2 linked regions of the Elephas maximus indicus genome follow. The protein of the gene in region 1 purifies or fractionates together with the protein of each later gene. This does not show direct contact. Links are inferred from orthologs where the notes say so. Each region holds a gene or a part of one and is shown in the gene's direction. Other genes may lie near its edges.

Region 1 (8,000 bases):
CTCTCGGACTTCTCTAGTCTCTGTCAGACCAGTAAGTCTGGTTTGTTTTTTGGGGGTTTTGTGTGTGTGTGTGTGTGTGAGTTTGAATTTTGTTCTACATTTTTCTCCAGCTCTGTCCAGGACCCTCTATTGTGATCCCTGTCAGACTAGCCAGTGGTGGTAGTCCAGCGCCATCTAGTTGTGCTGGACTCAGTCTGGTGGAGGCTGTGGTAGTTGTGGTCCATTAGTCCTTTGAATTAATCTTTCCCTTGTATCTTTGGTTTTCTTCATTCTCCCTTGCTCCAGATGGGGTGGGACCAGTAGAGATATCTTAGATGGCCGTTCACAAGCTTTTAAGACCCCAGACACTACTCACCAAAGTAGGATGCAGAACATTTTCTTTATGAACTATATTATGCCAGTCGAGCTAGATGTTCCTTGAAACCATGATCCCTAGTCCTCAGCCCAGTAACTCAGTCCCTCAGGGAGTTTGGATGTGTCTGTGAATCTTCTATGACTTTGCCTTGGCCAAATTGTGCTGACTTTCGCAGTACTGTGCATTGTCTTACACTTCACCAAAGCTACCAAGTATCTAATAGGAGTGGGAAAGAAATACTTAGAAAACAAGCATAAGGAAGACTCACAGGACACATGATTAAAAACAGTTGTTTGAGGTCAGATCATGAACAGCTAAGACCAAGAACAATCATTGTTTTGTAAGGTAGAGAGGGAAGTTTTAGAGGAGAATGTGATTTGGCCAGATTCATGGAAGATAAACCTTCAGGACTGGACTGAAGAGAAAATGGAGGTAGGAAAATGTTAGGGTTCTCCGGAGACAGCATCTGGGGTATAAGGCAGAAAACGAAATAAACAAAAAAAAGTTGCCATCGTGTCGATTCCAACTCAAGAGAACCCTATGTATGTCAGAGTAAAACTGTATTCCATAGAGTTTTTAATGGCTGATTTTTCAGAAGTAGATTGCCAGGCCTTTCTTCTGAGAAGCCTCTAGGTAGACTTGAACTTCTGACCTTTCAGTTACACCACCCAGGTACTCCAGTGGAAAACAGCGAGCAGTCAAACCTGGCAACTGAAGAAAGATTAATAGAGAAAATATTTTAAAAGATGAGGAAAGGGTTTAAGGTAACCCACAAAGAATAGGGCAATAATAGTGGAGAGTCATAATCACCCCAGGCCTATAGGGCCAGGGCAGGGTCAGAGAAGCCCCCAAAGGGTGTCTGCACTAAGAGGGCTGCCTGATGGCACCAGAAAACCCACCAACCAACCCAGATAATTTGCAGAGGCCTGGATAAGCACAGCAGACCTCACTCTTCCCACTCTCTGATCTTCTGCCAATGCCTCCCACTGGCTGAACACAGTTGGAAGCCAGGGGCAGACAGCAGAGTGGAGAGAGGACCTGGAGAAGTAGACAGAAGAGATACAGTCTAGGGGGACAGTGGTAAGGTCATGGCAGCAGGAATGGAAAGGGCACAACACAGAGACAAATTTAACTGGACGTTCAGGCTGATTAGATTTGGAGATGGGGAAAAAAATTCAAAGATGACTTCATAGTTTCAAGCCCAAGTTACTAGGTGAGAATAATAACATCAACTGATCCTGTTTTCACCAACCATCATATTCCTCAAAGGAGTCCCTAGGTGGTGCAAATGGTTAACATGCAGGCTACTAACAGAAAGGTTAAAGGTTCAAATCCACCCAGAGGCACCTCAAAAGAAAGGCCTGGCAATCTACTTTTGAAAAATCAGCTCTCGAAAACCCTATGGAACAGATTTCTGCTCTGAGACAAATGGGTGACCATAACTTGGAAACAACTCAACGGCAACTGTTTTTGTTGTTTGGTTGGTTGGTTTAAAGATGTATTTCTAAGAACCATCTACACAAAAGTAGCAACTGAAAACATGTGAGTGAATGAAATGGCAGAGAGAGTGGGGATAGAAAAGAAGTCAGGTCTGAACAGCAAACTTGAGAACCATCTTCATTTACGGGACAAAAGGGGGAAGAAATCCAACAAAGGGGAAGGGCAACATGTACAACTATTGGCCATATTGTTTAAACATATTTGCACATTTCTGGTAGGGCTTTTTTTTCCCCCCTTAACACTGCACAGGTTTGCCTAAGTTAAGGATGACATAAGTGCAAGCTGGAGACCATCACTTACCCACATGCCTCAGCAAGATTATTTTTAAGCCCCAAATCGCAATCTTACTACTTTCACTCGCTTTGAATTTAACACAGCCAACATTTGTTGTTGTTGTTTTTAGATGTCATCAAGTCAATTCCGACTTATAGCAACCCCCATATGACAGAGCAGAACTGCCCCATAAGGTTTTCTAGGCTGTAATCTTTCTAGGAGCAGATGGCCTGGTCTTCTCTCCCCCAGAGCTACTGGTGAGTTCAAACCTCCAACCTCTCGGTTAGCAGCCCAGCGTTGAAGCACCGTACCAGCTAACGTTAATACTTTTCTTAATTTAGGAAAGCTTATAATTCTTATTCTTTCAATCAATCACATGTAGAGTGCCTATTGTGTATTCAGCACTATGCTGAGCAAAAACCAAAAACCAAACCCATTGCCATCAAGCCGGTTCCGACTCACAGCAACCCTATGGGACAGAGCAGAACCACCCCATAGGGTTCCCAAGGAGCAGCTGGTGGATTCGAACTGCCAACCTTTTTTGTTAGCAGCCAAGGTCTTAATCACTGTGCCACCCAAAGTGATAATGAAATTCAGCCTCCAGTCATCAAGGAAATTAAAATCCAGTTGGACTATAAAAAACAATTTATTAAAACAATTAGGGAATAATTCAGAACTGACCTATATGATCCAGACCACTTTTCATCCAGTGAGAAGTCATCCCATTCAACACCTGTACTCTACTCTTTTTTTTCCTGATCCCGAAGATTGACAGAGGAGCTAAATCCTACATAGCTGCACACCCTACTAAAGGCCCAATCACACTTTATATTACTCCTCTCTTACCCAGTGTTCCATAAGGTTTCAGTGATCTTTGTATCCAGTGACTTACACATAGTAGCCATTTAACTTAGTATGCGTTGAGTGAATGAATGAATCAGCAGCCAAGTCAAGCACAGAGCAGTCATATCAATAACCTTAACTCTCTCCTATGACAAACTGCAAAAGCTCTAAGGTTCAAGGCAGTTACCTAATGCGGCCTTTGATCTAGCCTTGGCCCCATGGAATGACTGGGAGTAAAGACTTAGTGCAGACAGAAAACCAGAAAATCCTCAACTTCTTTAATTTAGATAAGAGGAAGAAAGGACAGTCTAGTATAATGCCTGACACATAACCTGGGCTCAGTAAATGTCTGATGAATCAATGAACGAAGGAAAGGTAGTGAGCTCAAGAAAAGAGCAAACTCAGGGCCCACGTAGCGTGGGTGAGCTGTATCTAGGGCCCTCTATAGCTGAAACTCAACTGAGTCTGTTTCCCAACCACTTGTATGTTAATTTCTGCTGCTTCATTCTCCAGCATAAGCCTCCCTTCAGCCTCCAAATCTCGGTTAAAAAATAAATAAAACCTTTAGGTTACACAATCAGCAGTGCCTCGCAAACCTGGACGTGCATACTAATAATCATCTAGAATCTTGTTAAAATGAAGATTCTGATTCAGTCCATCTGGGGTTAGGCCTGAGACTCTGCATTTCTAATAAGCTCCCAAGTGATGCTATGCCGCTGATTAACCCTTTGAGTATCAAGAGCCTGGAACACATTGCAGACTAATGTATGTAGATACCTCCTGCTCCCACATTTCCTAGGTATATAACCTTAGACAAGTCATTTCACCTCTCCGAGTCTTCCTTTTCCATCAGTGGGCTAGGGTTAATAACAATTATAGCTAGCATTTATTGAATACTTAGTATGTACCAGGAACTAATGTTTCATATTTTTTAAAGTGTCATTATTTGACCCTTTTAACAACCCTGAGGTAACCTCATTTTGAGAATGTGCAGGGCTTAGAGACGTCATGCTTAGTAGAAAGTGAAAAAGGAGAGCCTCAATGAGATAGACTGACATAGTGGCTGCAACAATGGGCTCGAACATACCTATTATTATGAGGATGGCACAGGACTGGGCAACGTTTCGTTCTGTTATACATGGGGTCACTATGAGTTGGAACTTACTAGACAGCACCTAACAACAGGGCTTGAAGAGGTTATAAACAACCTGTCCAGGATATATGTAAACAGTAAACTCAGATCTGATCTTAGGTGATTTGACTCAAGAACCTGGTGCTTAACCGCAATGTAACACTGCCTCTTCAACTTACCTCCCAGAGCCATCATGAATATTAAATAATTAGCTTTAGGCTGACATGCATTGACCAGTTCGCCCATGTTCCAGGGCCTAGTCTAAGCCTCCCTTGGGGCACATTAGCTTATTTAGCTTCCTAACAGTCTCGCATCTTACACGTTTTAAAATAGGCCCAGACAAGTTAAACAGAGGAAGGTCAAACTGCTCCTAAGTGGCAAATTCGAGACGTCCCTGGTGCTCTTTAGCTAAAGCCCCGGAGCTCTGAAGTACCAGCCATCTGCCCGCTCCCAAACCGACCCAAACCTTCTTCTGCACTTAGCTCTACGTTTATCTGTGCGATGTGTCCACACCTAGAACCTGGTGAGCGGATTAGGGCCCAAGAACAGCTGGGTGGCTACAAATCTTTGCAAGATATTTAACCTGAACTTGTAACACCGTCGCTCCGGAACGCCCTTCATCTCCTGCCCTAGCAATTGGCCCCGCCCCGAGGCCCCGCCCCGAGGCCCCCACCCGCAATCTCGGAGCCGCGGTCCCAATCAGGCTCTGGAACTTGTAGTCCGCGCAACTCGTGCCAGCTCCGCCTACATCCGGGCGCAAGTCGAACGGCCCTGCCTCTAATACCATAAACTCTCCAACACCGCCCTCTGCCGGCTTTTGGGGAAAGGTCACCCAGACGGCAAGCCGGTTCCGGATGCTCCGGAAGTGAAGCTTTCTTTTCCGGACCGAGCATCTGGGCGTCTGCACGTGGTTGTTTTGCCGGACTTGAACCGGCGCCGGCGGAAAAGTGAGTTCAGGCTCAGCCTCAGAGCTAGTGAGCTGAACCAGAGCCATGGAGAGTCAGAGCGTGGAGGAGCTACTAGCAAAGGCGGAGCGGGACGAGGCAGAAAAGCTGCAGCGTATCACGGTGCATAAGGAACTGGAATTGGAGTTTGACTTAGGCAATTTGTTGGCCTCAGACCGGAACCCCCCAACGGGACTGCGGTGCGCGGGACCCACACTGGAGGCTGAGCTGCGGAGCTTGGCGCGGGACAACACGCAGCTGCTCATCAATCAGCTGTGGCAGCTGCCCACGGAGCGCGTGGAGGAGGCGCTAGTGGCACGGCTGCCCGAGCCCACCACGCGCCTGCCTCGCGAGAAGCCGGTGCCCCGGCCGCGGCCGCTTACGCGCTGGCAGCAGTTTGCGCGCCTGAAAGGCATACGACCCAAGAAGAAGACCAATCTGGTGTGGGACGAGGTGAGCGGTCAGTGGCGGCGCCGCTGGGGCTACCAGCGCGCCCGCGACGACACCAAGGAGTGGCTGATCGAGGTGCCTGGCAGGGCCGACCCCTTGGAGGACCAGTTCGCCAAGCGGGTTCAGGCCAAGAAGGAACGGGTGGCCAAGAACGAACTGAACCGGCTGCGTAACCTGGCCCGTGCACACAAAATGCAGCTACCCAGTGCGGCCGGCATGCACCCAACTGGACACCAGAGCAAGGAGGAGCTGGGCCGCGCCATGCAAGTGGCCAAAGTCTCTACCGCTTCTGTGGGACGCTTCCAGGAGCGTCTGCCCAAGGAGAAGGCGCCTCGGGGCTCCGGCAAGAAGAGGAAGTTTCAGCCTCTCTTCGGGGACTTTGCAGCCGAGAAGAAGAGCCAGTTGGAGCTGCTGCGAGTCATGAACAGCAAAAAGCCTCAGCTGGACGTGACGAGGGCCACCAATAAGCAGATGAGGGAGGAGGACCAGGAGGAGGCCGCCAAGAAGAGAAAGATGAGCCAGAAGGGCAAGAGAAAGGGGGGTCGGCAGGGCCCTGGGGGCAAGAGGAAAGGGGGCCCGCCCCACCTGGAAGGGAGGAGAAAAGGGGGCTTTGGAGGCAAGATTAATTCTGGGCCTCCTGGCTTGGGTGGCAAAAAGAAGGGAGGCCAGCACCAAGGAGGAAAGAGGAGGAAGTAATAGTTTTCACCCTTGGGTCCCCTCTGTAAACCAAAAACTATGCTAAACGTTAAACTTAAAGTAGCGGGATGCACAAGAAAGTGGCAGCTGCCTTCATTGAACTTGAGGTTAAAGGGACAGTGTTGCCCTCCCTTCAAGAGGGTATTTTAAGTGTTGGACTCTACAAATGAGTGTTATTCCTGCAACGGAGGGTTTGGCTGGAGTTTAAAGGACGCGTTTGAGGGCATCAGAATTAGGGCAAGAATTTGATGGACAGTGGGAATGAGTCTATTCTTAAAACAGCCTTTTTCTTTTTAATGTTGGCTATAGGGCAAGAGAGAGTTGGTCATATATCAGAGACTTACTGATTTATACGTTTCTTCATTTTTATCAAAGCAAAGGGAAAGGAAAGATTACAAACATTTTCTCAAGTGGGCTTTAAAGTAACTATTTTAAAGGTTATTTAATAAAGCTGTGTCTGTATCCAGTGTTACTTTTAACTTCTTTTGGTAGAAATCAAGTGAAACCTGTCATCTGAATACCAGGTATAGAATCTTTTTATTCATTTTAGAAAAAACACAAAGCAGCTATATTATGGTTTCAGAGAGACCACTTTAGTTAGAAAAACTCATACTTGTTTTGTTACCAAGTGTATTGAAGGTGTACAACAGATGTTTGTTTGAAAAAAAGATATTAAGCTTTTTCACGCTTTGAAAACTATTGGTTCACTGTAAATATAAGTGTGGGCGTAACTAAATAATGCTAATAATCCTCATTAATCCAGAAAATATTTAAAGTTTTCTGGATATTTAAGTCCCTAATTTGTTTTTCTTTTGGTTTATTTTCTTTTGTTTTTAGCTTCATGTTAAATAGGGTACCAGAGAAAGAGACCCACAAAGTCTTTAATTGGATCATTGTTATTTTTTGTTTTATCTGTCAGATTGACCTGAGCTGGTTTGATTAGAGGAGTCCCTAGGTGGTTCGCTCAACTGCCAAACAGATTTGGAGTTTTGAGTTCACCCACAAGCACCTCGGAAGAAAGGCCTGGCCATCTGTTTCTGAAAAATCAGTCATTGAGAGCCCTGTGGAGCACTGTCTGCGACACACAGGGTCGCCATGACCAGAGTTGACTCCTTGGCGGCTGCTGTGGTGGTGCTTTGATTAGAAGGGAAAATGTTTATGGCTGTCCTGGTGTACTTTTCTGCCCATCAGTCTCTTTCCCTAATAAAGATCTGAAAAGAATTCATAGTTGATCTAAAACCCAGGGGCACTTTTGTGCTGCTGTAGAGCAAAGGGCCACCCAGCTGTTTTTAGTCTGACAGTTGATAGGAAAAGGGAGAATTTGTCTTTCAGTTTTTCTGTGTAGTCTCTTACAAAGGTACTTGTAGAGGTTTCTGTGAAAAAAAAATCAGATTTCATTGTCGATGTGTAACGGTTATTAAAAACAAAGACGTTCAAATGTTACTGTCTTCAGATACTTTCTGATTAAATTAAAGGTGGAGGTTTTTGGTTTGGGCCATCATTAACCAAGTTTTCCCCTGAGAATGATAGGAACATGACACTGTTAAGGTCTTTCAGAATACAGTGTGATTGTGGAAAGTTTTAGCTAAGATCAAGTTAAACTATTTAATGGTACCATGAACAACAACATCAAAAACCAAGCAGTTCACAGTATTTGCTAATTTAACACCTTTTAAGTTCTTCCCAATTGTCAGGGTTTTTTCAGGTTTTGATTTCAGGCGTTTTTGATTTGGCAGTGGGATTCTAACACTGGCCCGTAAAATAGGTCTCTTGGGCTTTTTGAAAGATTATTGTTCACTGATAAAAC
Region 2 (7,720 bases), on another chromosome or scaffold:
AGCCCAGTAACTCAGTCCCTCAGGGAGTTTGGATGTGTCTATGAAGCTTCTATGACTTTGCCTTGGTCAAGCTGTGCTGACTTCCCTAGTATTGTGTACTGTCTTACCCTTCACCAAAGTTACCACTTGCCTGTTTGGTGTTTTTCCATCCCCATTCCTTCCCTCCCTCATAACTGTCAAAGGTTGTTTCTTTTTTGTGTATAAACCTTTCCATGAGTTTTTACAGTAGCAGTGCCATACAATATTTGTCCTTCTGTGATTGACTTATTTCACTCAGCATAATGCCCTCCAGATTCATTCATGTTGTGAGATGCTTCACAGATTCATCATTCTTATTTATCATTGCATAGTACTCCATCGTGTGAATGTACCATGGTTTGTTTACCCATTCGTCTGTTGATGGGCATCTAGGTTGTTTCTATCTTTTTGCTATTGTGAATAATGCTGCAGACAACATGGTGTGTATATGTCTATTCTTGTGATGACTCATTTCTCTAGGATATATTCCTTGGAGTGGGATTGCTGGATCATATGGTATTTCTGTTTCTAGCTTTCTAAGGAAGCATCATATTGTTTTCCAAAATGGTTGTACCATTTTGCATTCCCACTAGCAGTGTATAAGAGTTGCAATCTCCCCACAACCTCGACAACATTTGCTATTTTCTGTTTTTTTGATTAGCACGAGTAACACCAGGGTGAGACAGTGTCTCACTGTGGTTTTGATTTGCTTTCCTCTAATGGTGCATGATCTCGAGCATTTCCTCATGTGTCTGTTAGGCATTTGAATGGTTTCTTTGGTAGAGTGTCTGCTTATTTCCTTTGGCCATTTTCTGATTGGATTTTTTGTCTTTCCTTTGTTGCAGAGGGGTTGGCTTTTCCTGGAGATTTTAGAGATTAGACTTTTGTTAGATTTGTCACAGCCAAAATCTTTCCCAGTCTGTAGATTCTCTTTTTACTCTTTCAGTAAAGTCTTTTGATGAACATATGTGTTTAATATTTAGAAGATCTCAGTTATCCAGCTTATTTTCTGGAGCTTGTGTATTGTTAGTTACGGTTTGTATTCTGTTAACACCATGTAGTAGGGCCTCTAGCATTGATCGTATTTTTACTTCTATGATCTTTATAGTTTTTGGTTTTATATTTAGATCTTTGATCCATTTTGAATTAGTTTTTGTGCATGCTGTGAGGTATGGGCCTTGTTTCATATTTTTGCAGATGGACATCCAGCTTTGCCAGCATCATTTGTTAAAAATCCTGTTTTTTCCCCATTTGATGGACTTTGGGCCCTTGTCGAAGATCAGGTGACTGTAGTTGGATAGATTTATATCTGGGCTCTCAATTCTGTTCCATTGGTCAATGTATCTGTCATTGTACCACTACCGGACTATTTTGACTACAGTAGCTGTACAGTAGGTTCTGAGGTCAGGTAGTGCGAGTCCTCCTACTTTATTCTTCTTCTTCAATAGTGTTTTACTTATCTGTATAAAGATTAGTTTTTCCATCTCTTTAAAGAAAAAACCACCCACTTGTGTTATTTTTTGTTATACCTGTACTAGGACACTAGAAAACTAAGACATTCTTGTCACATGAAAACATTTTCCCAGTTTTACTTTGATAATTTTTGAAATGCAGACATATTTAATGTGTTTATCCATTGAATGGACACGCCATGTTTATTACTCAGTCTTTTGTCATAGGCTATTTGTGTTGTTTCCAGTTTTTTCTATTATAAATAACATTGCAATGAAAGTTTTTTGTGAATCCTAGAACCAAACGAGAATGAAAACCCATCATACCAAAACCTTTGGGACACAGCAAAAGCAGTGCTCAGAGGTCATTTTAAGAAATAGGTGCATCAGACCCACCTGGGAGCTTGTTAGAAACACAGAACCTGAGGCCCTACCCCATGCCAACTGGGTCAGAGCTTGCCCCGTGGCCAAATCTGCAGGTAATTGCATGCTTTGTTAGGTCTGAGAAGCACTGTGCTAACAAACTGGCAGCAGGTGTCCCAACCTTGAGTTACTCCTATGGATGCAAAGGGAGGTCAGGAGTTCGTGGAGGTGGTGGGGAAACAGGGAGGCTATGCTGGAAGAGAAACTTCAGTTTGCTGTCTTCCCTTCCCTGCTCCCTTCCTCCTCTCTCCTCCCCCAAGCCCCATTCTGGGAAAGGAGGGGGTGTCTCACACACACAGACACGAAGGGAGGGGTCTTTAGAGAAATGGAGAGCTTGGTTTTCATTCTCTGGAATTTGGAGGATTCAGAGATCTGTTCCTGCCTTATGCACCAAACTTTGGGACCAGCCAGGGCTGCCCGGCAGCGGCACAAAGAAAGCGAAGGCTGTGTTTGGAGAGCCCTTACTGAAGGATCAGGACCAGGGTTAGCTTAGGAAGGCCTTCCCAAGAAGAGCCCCTGGAAGTACAGCAACCAGGCAGAGACCACTTCAAAAGTACATTCAGAAAGTGAAGTAAGTCAGTCACAGAATGACGAACATTGTTTGATCCCGCTTACATGAAATATCTAGGACAGGCAAACGAAAGGAGACCAAAATAGATAAGTAGTTAGCAGGGGCATTTGGGCTGGGTGGGGGGGGCGGGGGGGGGGAAGGGAACTATTGCTTAAAAGGCCCTGAGTTAAAGCTGAAGAAAAAAATTGGAAACTGATGATGGTAGCACAACATGGTGAATGTAATTAATAGCTGAATTGTACATGTACAGAGGGCAGAAAGGCAGGTGCTTTGTTGCACATGACCCGTGGCCTCCTGCTGTCACGTCAATTCTGACTCATAGCAACTCTACAGGACAAAGTAAAACTGCCCCATAGGGTTTCCAAGGAGCAGCTGGTGGATCCAAACTGCCAGCCTTTTGGTTAGAAACCTGAGCTCTTAACCACTGAGCCACCAGGCTCATTATCTATGTTATATATACTTCATCACAATTAAAAATGAAAAAGTGCCCTTGTAGGGAAAGAGCCAGCAGCCAGAAGCTCTTGGGCCACCCGACACCTGCCAGTCACATAGTCCCTTCCTGTCCCTCCCTCTGCTCTCTCCTGTTCCAGCCCTGCAGAGGACCCAACTTATACCCAGGGCACAAGAAAGAAGACACAGCCGAGAATTTCTCAGCCTCAGGCTCACCAGGTAAGGAGAATTTAACACTGGATTCTGAACACCTGGAAAATGCTTCTGTTGACTACTATCTGAGGAGTGACCAGAGGAAGGATGAGCTATCCCCAAGATTTCATGCAGGGAGAGGAGAAGCCAGCTCAGAGAAGGAGCATTCCTGAGGAAGAATGAAATTGCCCTCTGCTGCTTGGGCCCCAAAAGTCCGGCCTGTCCATGCAAACACAGTGATGAGAGAGAGTGTCCAAAAGGGCGTGCTGATCCTAGCTCAGGTTGGGATGCCTTCCCTGAGGGGGACATGGAGCTGAGCACTGAGGGTGGCTGAAGGGAAGGGGGCAAAGGGCATGGACGCCGTGCCTCCTGGCAAAGGAAGCAGCTGGCCAGCCCTGTGTGGTTCCCCCTCCCACTCTGCGACTGTCACTAGACACCCCTCCAGGGTCCCCGTACTAGTTCCAGGGCACAAAGCCCCCTATCTGGAGAATAGCTCTGGTTAGACCTGTGCTTAGCCTCCACTGCCTGATTCCTGCAACCTGTTGTCCACACTTAGAGACCAGGCCAGCGCACCTCACGCGAGCCACCGGCCGTCTGTCAGTGTTGCTGAACAGGTTTCAGCGGAGCTTCCAGGCTAAGATGGACTAGGAAGAAAGACCTGGCCATCTACTTCCGAAAATCAGCCAGTAAAAAGCCTATGGATCACACCAGGTCCTATCTGCAATGGATCATTCCCTTGGGCATTGGGTGGCCGTAAGTTGCTGACTCGATGGCAGCTAACAACGACAAATCTTAAAATATAAATTCATAATAGCCACAGCCTTGCTTTAAAACCCTCACATCGCCCTGCATTTAAAATCAAACCCAAGCTTTACGCCTGCTCACCTCGCGCATCGCACCTCCTCACGCCCACCTTCCCTCGCTCCTTGGCTCCAATCACAGCGGCGGATGCCAACCCCACTGACAGGGCGCTGTGCTCCGGTCCGCACCGCAGCTGGGGTCGCCGCGCAGATGCCCGCTGCAGGAGCCCTCCTGGCCCGCCTCTCCCCTGCAGCCTCTTACGTCTCTCCGGCACCTCCCCCTCCCCCTCCCCCACGTGTCTCTCTGTCCTACCCCCGCCCCCAAGCTCTAAGTTCCCCAAGGCAGCAACACAGGGACATGTACCAGGGGCCCAAAACCACAAATGAGTAAAAAAAAAAAAAAAGAAAGAGTAAATGAATGAAGCCATATTTCGGCAAGGACAATGATACTGTTTTGGAGTTTATTTTTAATTCCCCCATAAAATTGTACTGCCACTCGAATCCGTTGCCGTCATGTCGAGGCTGACTCATAGCGACTCTACAGGACAGAGTAGAAGTGCCCCATAGGGTTTCCAAGGAGCTCCTGGTGGATTTGAACGGCCGGCCTTTTGGTTAGCAGCCGAGCCTTGACCACCGCTCAACCGAACAAGTGACCGACCATCTGCCATTCTAGCCAGGTGGAAGGTGTGTGACGGCGCGCCAGCAGGGGGCGCGCGAGCTCTCCGCGTCCGGCCTGGGCTCCGCCCCGGCATAAGCCTCGCCTCACCCCTTCCCCCGCCCCCCGCCTCCACTTCCGCTTCGAGGGAGCTGACGGCCTCGCATTTCCGGGAGCTCCGCGTGGAGCGTCTGTGCTGGGGTGTGTTGGACATGGCGGATTTTTCCGGCCCTGCTAAGCCCCTCCTGTCGCTGAACCCGCAGGACCAGGCCAGGTTTCAGAAGCAGGTGGCGCAGGCCCGCCGGCGCGCGACCCAGGTGAGCGGCCGCCGCGGCCTGGACCGGGAGGGGTGGCGGCAGACGGGCGGCGGCGGCCTCAGCTCGCGCGGAGCCCAGCCCGAGCCTCTGTCCGGCGCGCCTGCCCTGCTCCGGCCTCCGCTCTCCCGGGGTCTCCCCAGGTGGGCGCCCGACTGACTCAGGAACTGTCTCCGGAGCCGGCCGGGCCTGGGACCCTGACGGGGAGGTCACGGGCAGGTACGGGTGACGCCGGAGGAGGAAGAGAGCGCCAGCTGGTGGGGTGGCCCTCCCGCACTGCGGCTAACTCGCGGTTAGAGCCGTCCCGCTTCCGCTTTCCCGCGAAAATGGGGTTCCCGTCCCAGACATGCCCACCACTCGGTAGGTTTCTGTGCTCGCTTGGTGATTTTGCAGTTCTTTTAAAAGACAGCTTTTTCCAAAGTCTGTTTGCTGACTGTGGCTCCTGACATCAGCTTCATATTTGCTTTGATTTTAGCGTAAAAAAAAAAAAAAAAACCGTTGCTGTCGAGTTGATTCCGACTCATAGCGGCCCTATAGGAGAGTAGAACCGCCCCATAGGTTTTCCAAGGTTGTATTCTTGACGGAAGCAGACTGCCACATCTTTCCCCCTAGAGTGGCTGGTGGGTTCCAGAGCAGCAGCCTAGTGCTTTAACCACTGAGCCAACAGGGCTCCTTCAGCGTAAAATACACGGGGCGGGAAACTAATTAAAAGCTCTTGTTAAAAAGTAGGTATGTGGTAACTGAGATGCTCAGTTTTCCTTGTGAACGTTAGCAGACTTCTAGAATCTCTTCGATTAGGTGCGAGTAAGTGGTATGCCTAAAAAATTGAAGGGGACATTTGTGCAAGTTCTCTGGGCAGGAAATTTAAAACGACGTGTTCAGAGGTTTATTTGTTTATTGGTTGATCCAGTATAGACTTTTGTAGTCCTTACAGTGTGGTGGGATATGAAACTGAGAAGAATGTTGTCTGCTTGATGATTGTTCTGGGGAGATAGACATTAAACCACTAACTCTTTAATTACAGGTGTAATAACTGGAAATACATGGTCATTCTTGGCATCTTTGTTGAACCTAAACCTGGGGGTTTTCTTGCAATGTCATTTTGTTGTTGTTAATTTGAAAGTATATATATTTACTTGATCTTTTTATCCTTAGCAAGAAAAACTTACTCCTGGAGTAGTCTATGTGGGCCACATACCTCGAGGCCTTTTTGAACCCCAGCTCAAGGCATATTTCTCCCAGTTTGGCACTGTTACAAGACTCAAATTGTCCAGAAGTAAAAAGGTAAAATTTTTAAAATTGAATTAGGTTATTTATCTTATTTTTCAAATATATGTATATAAGCCTTGATAATCATATCATCGAGTTTTATTCATATCCAAAGATATTTAATGCCAGATTGTAAAACTTTTCTAGTTGGCCCTAATAAATGGTAACATTTACTGATAGTTTACAGAGCATTGTCACATATGGGATTGTTTGCTTGGTGTTTCCAGCATTCTTGGGATTGTTGGGTAAAGGATTAATATTTTGCCATATGATAAGTATTTTCAGATCATTTCTCAAAAGGTTTATATCTGTGTACAGTGGTGGTAAATTGACTGGGATTTCACAGGGTTTCCCTTCCACTCCTCCACCATCTGTCTCCTCCCTGTTGAGAGTTGGGATTGTGAGATAGGTTTGGCATTTTAATTTTTACCAAAATCCCCCTGCAGAGAAACTGAGACTCAGAGTTGTGGACTTGTCCAGGTAGCAAGTTACACCACAGCTGATGCTAGAAATGAACCTGCTGATTCCCAGTCTGTTAGCCATGCAACTTTTAAGTGGTTTCTTATCTCCAGAATCGTATCATCGAGTTTTATTCATATCCAGAAATATTTAATGCCAGATTGTAAAACCTTTCTAGTTGGCCTTAATAACCTGTAACATTTACTGAGTACTTAACTGACATAATGTTGAGCTCCCGTGGATTATTCCATGTCTTTATACCAATCCTGTGAGAATGGTTATTTTATCATCCCAGTTTTATAGATTCAAAAACTGTGGCTCAGGGAGCTTAAATGTTACTTACCCATGTAAGCATCACAGCAGGATCCAAATGTGGGCAATTGGACTCCAGAATCCACACAATTGTTCCTAAGATTTGGTGTTATTGTTAGGTGCGGTTGAGTTGGTTCTGACTCATAGCAACCCTATGCACAACAGAACGAAACACTGCCCAGTCCTGCGCCATCCTTACAGTCGTTGTTATGCTTGAGCTCATTGTTGCAGCCACTGTGTCAATCCACTTCGTTAAGGGTCTTCCTCTTTTCCACTGATCCTGTACTCTGCCAAGCATGATGTCCTCCAGGGACTGATCCCTCCTGACAACATGTCCAAAGTATGTAAGACACAGTCTCGCCATCCTTGCCTCTAAGGAGCATTTTGGCTGCTCTTCTTCCAAGACAGATTTGTTCGTTCTTTTGGCAGTCCATTCAATATCTTCACCAACACCACAATTCAAAGGCATCAACTCTTCTTCAGTCTTCCTTATTCATTGTCCAGCTTTCCCATGCATATGACGTGACTGAAAATAGCATGGCTTGGGTCAGGCGCACCTTAGTCTTCAGGGTGACGTCGTTGCTCTTCAACACTCTGAAGAGGTCCCTTGCGGCAGATTTACCCAACCCAATCTGTCTTTTGATTTCTTGACTGCTGCTACCATGGCTGTTAATTGTGATTCCAAGTAAAATGAAGTCCTTAACAACTTCAGTCTTTTCTCCGTTTATCATGATGTTGCTCATCGGTCCAGTTGTGAGGATTTTTGTTTTCTTTATGTTGAGGTGCAATCCATACTGAAAGGTATG

The links. The genes of interacting proteins can lie anywhere in the genome.
Region 2: the proteins of RRS1 (region 1) and NIFK purify together in Homo sapiens (affinity purification with mass spectrometry; 3 studies listed by BioGRID and IntAct, counting the BioPlex papers as one, with this or other methods). This does not show direct contact. The link is inferred for Elephas maximus indicus from reciprocal best matches to the Homo sapiens genes RRS1 and NIFK.

What each region holds. Positions count from the first base shown.
Region 1 is NC_064833.1:76,193,532-76,201,531, reverse strand, and holds RRS1 (ribosome biogenesis regulatory protein homolog), read left to right. Parts: upstream 1-4,990; 5' UTR 4,991-5,095; coding exon 5,096-6,193; 3' UTR 6,194-6,717; intron 6,718-7,112; 3' UTR 7,113-7,666; downstream 7,667-8,000. UniProt on the Homo sapiens protein: Involved in ribosomal large subunit assembly. May regulate the localization of the 5S RNP/5S ribonucleoprotein particle to the nucleolus.
Region 2 is NC_064824.1:6,604,263-6,611,982, reverse strand, and holds the start of NIFK (MKI67 FHA domain-interacting nucleolar phosphoprotein), read left to right. Parts: upstream 1-4,713; 5' UTR 4,714-4,772; coding exon 4,773-4,877; intron 4,878-6,029; coding exon 6,030-6,158; intron 6,159-7,720.